Linked DNA regions of Lepisosteus oculatus. The protein of the gene in region 2 interacts with the protein of the main gene of each other region in a pairwise test. Links are inferred from orthologs where the notes say so. Each region holds a gene or a part of one and is shown on either strand. Other genes may lie near its edges.

The links. The genes of interacting proteins can lie anywhere in the genome.
Region 1: the proteins of atpaf2 (region 2) and lrrfip2 interact in binary tests that used the Homo sapiens proteins (3 or more experiments, as listed by UniProt). The two-hybrid records come from large-scale screens. The link is inferred for Lepisosteus oculatus from reciprocal best matches to the Homo sapiens genes ATPAF2 and LRRFIP2.

Annotation. Positions count from the first base shown.
Region 1 is NC_090705.1:25,398,380-25,402,129, forward strand, and holds the start of lrrfip2 (leucine-rich repeat flightless-interacting protein 2), read left to right. Parts: upstream 1-1,572; 5' UTR 1,573-1,994; intron 1,995-3,750. UniProt on the Homo sapiens protein: May function as activator of the canonical Wnt signaling pathway, in association with DVL3, upstream of CTNNB1/beta-catenin.
Region 2 is NC_090714.1:17,606,841-17,610,590, reverse strand, and holds the start of atpaf2 (ATP synthase mitochondrial F1 complex assembly factor 2), read left to right. Parts: upstream 1-1,171; 5' UTR 1,172-1,407; coding exon 1,408-1,513; intron 1,514-1,744; coding exon 1,745-1,789; intron 1,790-2,120; coding exon 2,121-2,269; intron 2,270-2,614; coding exon 2,615-2,712; intron 2,713-3,052; coding exon 3,053-3,133; intron 3,134-3,572; coding exon 3,573-3,685; intron 3,686-3,750. Other genes in the region: gid4 (glucose-induced degradation protein 4 homolog), read right to left, coding at 510-698. UniProt on the Homo sapiens protein: Plays a role in the assembly of the F1 component of the mitochondrial ATP synthase (ATPase).

The DNA.
Region 1 (3,750 bases), on a different chromosome or scaffold from region 2:
AGTCCAATAAGATCCAGGAGTCTTCCTCGTTCGCAGTGTTCCTGACTACACCGTCCCAGTCTCCGTGACCCAGATCATGCCATTCCCTGAGGAGCAGACAGAGACAGAGACCAATCCAATTGTGAGACTACCAAGTCTCTCCTGAGGACAAGGGACCTGGTGGGGAAGGGGGGAGTCTGTCGATCTGCTCATTCCTTGCCCTTTCTCATCTGGCTCCCTCTTTCCTGCCCTTTACCCCTTTAAAAGGACTGAGAGACCCCTGCTTGCTCTTTTCTCACCTGGAACTGTTGAGGATCAGCATATCTCTCTCTTCTTCTCATCTTCAACCTGGTTTGCCTAACCCCTGTGGATAGCACACCCACTGTAAATAAAAAAGGCAATAAAAGCTTTCTCAGAGCCAGAATAACAGCTTGCTTGCCTCCTTCCTATCACTAACTGTCTAAATACGCTCAACCTCAACATCACAATAGTTGACTAAGCTGTTCCAATGCTTAACTTCTGAAAGTAAGGGAGTGAGCTAGATTAAATAACCACTAGACTTTATACTTTTATTTTAACTCAAGCGAACAGGACACCAATTGATGAACTGGATATCCTCATTCTTTTAGTATCTTAACATCCTTTGTGTAATTAAGAGAGATATCCATAAAAAATCTAAAAAGTTGCAGATACAGATGTATTTCCCCAGTAGAGGTCGTTGTTTCTCTGTGAAAGAAGTAAGACTCGCATTAATTTTGTAGAAAGGTTATAAAAATTCATTTTTTCTCCAGATTGAAGGGTGTGTCAAAGGATACTAGGTTTATCTAATAATAGGAATTTCAGATAACTCTAGGCTATGATCTTTTATTACCTTACAGATATTCTTAAGTACTGACTCACCTATACAATTTCTAAAGACTTACCTTTTCCTAAATCCACAGACTTTAAACTTTTAACTATAAAGTATGGACTAACATAATTTATAATAACTGATTCTTTCTACCGTACTGGATTTTATTATGTGTGAATTTATTTATAATACGTCTGTCTGCTATAAAAAACTACTTTTTGTTAAGCAACAGAAAAAGAGTTGAAATAGTATTTAATGACAACATCTTTTAAGCTGTTTAAATGTATCAGTGGTTTCATGTACATATACTGTACTTTCATTTCTAAGGTGCTTGTTGTTTCCGAGTAGAAGAGAAAGAAAAAACGAGATAACAGTTCACAGTAGATCGGAGACCCATTGGGCAGTAGTAATGAAGGTTATCGTAAAAGATTTTTCCGGTTTTTACATTTATCATGTCTGATTAAACACGTTTTCAAGCACATTTTGAGGTTGTAAGGAGTTAACTGTATTTGATAACTTGTAAATAAGGCAAACAACGATTATATTAGCAGTTCAGTTCAAATAAAGCAATATGTTGTAACTCTCCCTACATCCGCAAAAACTCAGAATATGCACATTGTGTTTATACAGTAGATATCGATATGTTTTCGCTTCTTCTTTGTCCATGACACTACACCCTATGAACGCGTGACACTATCGTTCTATCTTAAATGAAATCATCAGCGTCCGCCTCCACCCTAGCCGCACACATCCGGGCATTGCGGCGTCATCGGGTCACCCCGAGAAGCTGGCGAGCGAGGAAGAGACAGGGAGCCGGAGCCGTTTGGGGAAGGGGACTCGAGTAGCAGGAGAAAGACGCTTCTTCTAGCGGCAGCTCTCTGAGGAAGAAAAGAATATAAAGAGACGGCTGGAAAAAATAATAATAATTAAAACAACCCTGTCCTAAATTAATGCCAAGGGAATCCTGGGTGAAAGAGAATCGGGATTTCTTATGTTAAGGTGGACGAATAAGCGGCGGTGTCAGTTTGCGCTGTCACACTGGAAACGGAGGTGAAATTATAACTGCAAAAAAGGGTCTGGCCTTCTTCCTATTCTGAGCCACTTTTCTCTCCCTGGACACTGTGTTTCTGGTATATCGGCATTCTTCCGTTGAACACTGTTAAAGGTAAGTGCTTTGGATTTAAGAAACTCTAAATAAAATATTTTGAGAAACGCTGTTTTCTTGATTGAAATGGGAAACTGCACAAATGCTCCTAGATGTCACTCCGAAACCCAGGTGTACGACTGCCGTCTTTAAAAAATCACTTTACAGCCGATTTGTCGCGCCTTGTTTTTGAGCCGGTGGGGTTAGGATAGTGATGAAAAAGGATCACTTCCTGGATTTTCATTCTTTCCAATTAAAATGATTACATTAAATTCCGAAAAGCTGGCAAATGGTAACTTGCAAGCTCTAATGACGGAATTGTTCACAAATCTTTGGGTGACACCGGCTATTTGATATTGCCGAAGTCGAAAGTGAAAATGTGGTGTGGAATATTGTAAATAAATATTATTGGCATTCTGGTTGTTGCACTTTTAGGGTAAATAACATTATATGGCCGTCCACTAAAACCTTCTTGTCAAGCTTTGGGATTATGACTTGACCAAGTTGGAAAAGTTATGAGGGCATGTATTTAAATAATTTAAAAAAATATTTGACAGCCATATATTAAATAAAGGGCTTTATTTACAACCATTTTGTCCTAATAAGCAAATAAACTTTTTTGCGTTGGAACAAATCTGTTTACACAGATCAATAAAGTGGCACCATGGTTTTCATCCTTCACAAAAATAGTACCACAGAAATGTTGGATCTGCTTTAAAACAGCAAAGCATTTTGAGTAACGGTAATACAAATGTATTATGAGCTCTAAAATATTTAATGAGGTTTCCTATAACAAAGGAAATGCAGTATTCCTCATTGCAATTACTTTTAATAGTAAACAAAACCTTTTAATCTGCAGGTTAGTTCGTTTTAATGGGAAATACGTTGTTATCTGCTTTGAATGCCTGTTGTTTGTAATGATTGCCAAATCACAATAATGATTTTGTTGCTAAAAAGAAACACTACTGATGATGAGCACTATCTTCACTGGGAGCAGTGTTATCTTTTAAATAACTAAACTTATGTATCAGGCTTAGAAGTAATACCGCTGAATGTTTTGTTGTGGGCTAGCATAATGGAAATTGAGGACCAAAGTGTAAGAATTTTGATTGGTAGCTAGAAGAAAAAATCACTTGTCTAAGCTGTAATTTTATTGTACCGATTATAAATTTATTTGTGGTTCTGTTTTACAAATCCCTTCCTAAAATTTTCATTTGAGATATGACATCAGGATGAGGTGCAAAATAGAACAGAGTTTACATCTGGTTCTGTAAAAGTCTCTACTTGCACAGCAAAAATTAGAAAAACATCACCCATTCTGTTCCAGTATGTGTTATTGTTTAATGCTAGTTTAAGTCTGCATAAACATGTGGAAAGTTATTTTCATTTCCATTTAAATATTGAAACCACATAAGAGTAAATTAAAAATAAAGACACTTAAACTTTAAATGCTTATACTGTATGTGCTGTCTTTCTAAAAGGGGCTGGAGTAAAACATGTAATGGTGATAGATAAAAATGTTTAATAGATGTTCACACAGTCTTCCTAAACTTCTCTGTGAGGTCGCAGGAAATTCCAACTGTGTTATTCAGCAATACCAATCACCATTTTACTGTCAGCAAAAATAGCTGTCAGTGTAAGACAGGCCTGATCACAGCAACCTCAACCGCCACGCCTAATTCACAGTTAATGTGGGCTGATGGATGCCTCTTGCATCCAGGAAAATTGGTACAGGAAAATATTAACAATTAAGTGCTTGTTTTAAAATTATAATGGT
Region 2 (3,750 bases):
TCACGTCATTTACAGCGCAGGTCTGGCTGCTGTGACGACTATGAAGAGGGCAACTGAGGATCTGGATGTCTTCAGTGACTGTTGTGCTTTTGGTACCAAGCCTAACCTGAAAAGCATAAGCCTTAGAACCTCCAATATTGTTGTATTTAACACTTATAAATTATTTTAAGTCAAACAACACAGTCCTAGGAGGTTAGAAATTGCTACAGTCGACTTTTTACTGGGGCTGTTCGAGCTAAGAAGAAGTTCTCAATAAAACTGAAACAGTGAAAGATTGAAAACAAAAACACCACAATCCACCTCGATAACACCACAGGGATAAGAACGATTTCAACACAACTTAATGTGAGATTGATCTCAACTGAGAAACGCGTCTACAAGTTTTTAGTTAATCACCTCCCCAGTGATATTAATACGTCTATGATAATATTACGTCGTTTTACTGGCCAGATTGTATGTTAGTCGATGACACTAGGCTCCGGTATAAATACTCTTCGTTTCTTACTTACCTGCAAAACAACCTCGACATCGTACGAATTCCCTTTGCTCTTCTGGTGTCCGCGGAACTTGGAGCCGCTGTACAGGAGCGAGGTGGCGACACCCGGCTGCTGCGTGTTGATTGGGGGAGGCGGGATAAGCGAGGCCGAGGCTATAAAGGCCGCACAGGCGGTACTGCAGCACTCGGTCCGGACCGGCATGTTTATCACGTCTGAAGGTCGCCCCAGCTATGGCCGACGTACGCCACAGAGACGGTAACAAAAAGGGGACAGGGGGAGAACTGTCGAGGCGGCTCACCGACTCACGAATTCTCCCCAGCCGCCGAGAGATGCGCTACCAGGGTCCCAGCAAACAGTAGGGACCTCAACGCAGCACCACGCAGCAACATCCCGCCAGCCTATTGGCCAGGGGAGCGCACCTGGCAAAGAAACCGCCGCTCATTGGATGGCCTTCTGAAATGCATTTTGGGACTTGTAGGTCTTCTAGCCCCGATCTGTAGTTTTTCCTCCGTTCTCCCGCAGTCGAACTCCACCTCCCATAACCCACCTCAGTGACCTTCGGACTGTTTCCGCCCCGTTCCTCAGGTTTCCCAGCGGCCATTGGAGAGCGTGTCCGAGGAGCAGTGACGCGCTTGAGGTCACTGACATGGCGGCGCCCATGCGGTTGAGCAGGTTATGACTGACCCTGGGAATGCGATTCTTTAAAGGGGAACACGTCCAAAAACACCATTAAAATATATGTGTATTGATTGCCGGGTAACTAGGATTCGATAATGCAGTGTGATAATGCATAATTTAATCAAGTGTCATAAGTCCCTATGACATGCTTTAATGCTTTGGTTACCCTGCAAAAGCGCATGAAATCGATTTGAGGTCGTGATTCCCGAAATAAGAAGAATCTGTCAGAGAGATGTTGCGGGGTCTGGCCCGGTTGTGCAGGAGAGGCGGCACCGCTGTCCAGTCACCGTGCGGCTGTGTCGCTGCAAGCTCGCCGGCATACTCTACTGCGACCCCGGGTAAGAGCCGGGTTCTGCCCGGCGTGTGGGAACTCGTGTCGCTTTGTTAGTCAATCGCTGATTCCGATGTAATTGCACAACAAGCTGGATGCCCGTAATGCGGCAAATGTATTCTTGTGTTCCGTTCTTACACAACCATGGTGACGTCTCTAGGTTAGATCATGAAAATACATTCTCTCTGTTTTTAATTGCCCGGTTCAATCAGATATTCGTATTTGCTTGTATCCACAGGGAGGAAGAAGTTCTACCAGGACGTCAGTATTTCACAAGGACAAGGTGCGGTATGAAACACATCCTGTTTTTTTCCTGAGGTAGACTGTAACAGATAACAGTTTTGTTTTAATATTGTGTCTCCTTTTTGTATTTATGACGATTCAATAAAAACTAAAAAAGAAAGAAAGAAACGACAGCAAGCCGTTTGGCTGATCTTGCCCGTCTCCAGCAGAGCTGTATTTGTCTTGTATTTTGTATTGTTCTGCAAGTGGATAAGTGTGTGAAACAGTGTCTCAGTGCTCCGCTGTGGTGAGGAATGTGCAGACGAGGTCCGGATCGGCTCAGGCTGAGTGATGTGCCGTGCTGTTCAGCGCCCGGTCTCCTGCGCCTGCAGGTGGGCTGTTTGAGATAAACCTGGACCGCGGGAAGCTGAAGACCCCGGGAGGGAAGTTGTTCACAGTGCCCAGCGAAGTCTTGGCAGTTGCCGTGGCGACGGAGTGGGATTCCCAGAAGGACACTCTCAAGTTCTACACGATGCACCTGGTAGGAACCTCAGCTCGCAGCGGGCAGCGTGTGGGGCCTGTGTCCTGAGAGTCCTGTCCAGGGTGTATCCCCCACTGTGGCCACTGCCTGCCGGGATTTGCGTATTAACCTCTGGAGTCAGAAAACCATCAGCCACTTGTGTACTCATTTAGTTTCCACTGGGTTCTTTTGTATGATCGGAAGCCAAAGAAATCCCCGAAAGGAACCATTCTGGTTTATTCCAAAGGGAATAAACTCTTAATTCTAATTAGGACAATATTCCAGCATTCAGGAACCCGAATCTCTGGAAGTTTCTCTTGAGATGTTGAAGGGCTGAGGTAACAGGCCCCGCTCTGTCTCTCCCAGACCACACTGTGCAACACGGCTCTGGACAACCCCACTCAGAGGAACAAGGAGCAGGTGATCACAGCCGCGCTCAAGTTCCTGGAGACCGACACCGTCTGGTGAGTCGGGAGTGGCCGAGCTGCGCACTTTCCCTGGCACTCGGCACCATGGGGTGGGCACAGGCTGTGCCAGTCAAAAGGCAGGCTTGGGGTGGAAGAAATTTATCTGAGCCTGTAATTAGGGTCCCTTTCCTCTTCCCTTGAAACCACTCTTTTGCCAGCTGTCTGTGTTCATGGTCATTTCCGTTGTTTTGCTTTACTGTGTCAAGGGAGCAATCTGGCGCAGACTTCAGACTCTTACTTTGCTGCCTAGTGTTTGTGTTCAGATCCCTGTGACAGGGGCTGGCTCCTGAGCTGCGGGTGATGGTTGTTTCACTGGTTTCTTTCTGCCTCCGGGCAGCTATAGGGTGGAGGAGCCCCCAGGGCTGGTGGAGCTGCAGAACAACGAGTGGGACCCCGTACTGGACTGGATTGAAAAGAGGCAAGTCTAGAAAGAGCTGCAGAGCTCAGGAGTGAAGAACATTAGAGCATACAGTGCAGGGTCAGGGCAGGTTTGTAACTAGTTTTAGAATAGAAATAAACATAACTAGATTTTGATGAGGCAACCGTGGATTTGTTTTAATTGCATAACAGATACAGCAGCGGTCTTTAACCCAGCTTCTGGAGAACTACATTGTTTTCTAGCTTTGATAGCATTCCAGAATTCTCCTACAGGAATTTATCATTTGCTAATGATTAGCCAATCATTTTGACACCTTTTAAACTAGAATACAGCAGGACTTCACAGGACGGTGGTTGTATTCTGAAAACTGTCCATCAATTAGCTGTGTCACTGACACCTTTCATATGTGTATGTGTGCTGTCCTGACACCTGATTACCACCACAGACCTGAGCTCGTTACTGATTGTTTTCCTCACAGGTATAATGTTGTGATCGGCTCCTCCTCCAGCATTATGGGCCCTTTGATCCCTAAGGAGACGAAGGCCACTTTCCGACAGCACCTGGCCTCCTACAACTTTTGGGCTCTGATAGGTACGGCTGGGAGCGCTGCCACAGTCTGTCTGTGTAAAACCAGTCACCGCTGAAAACACCCAACA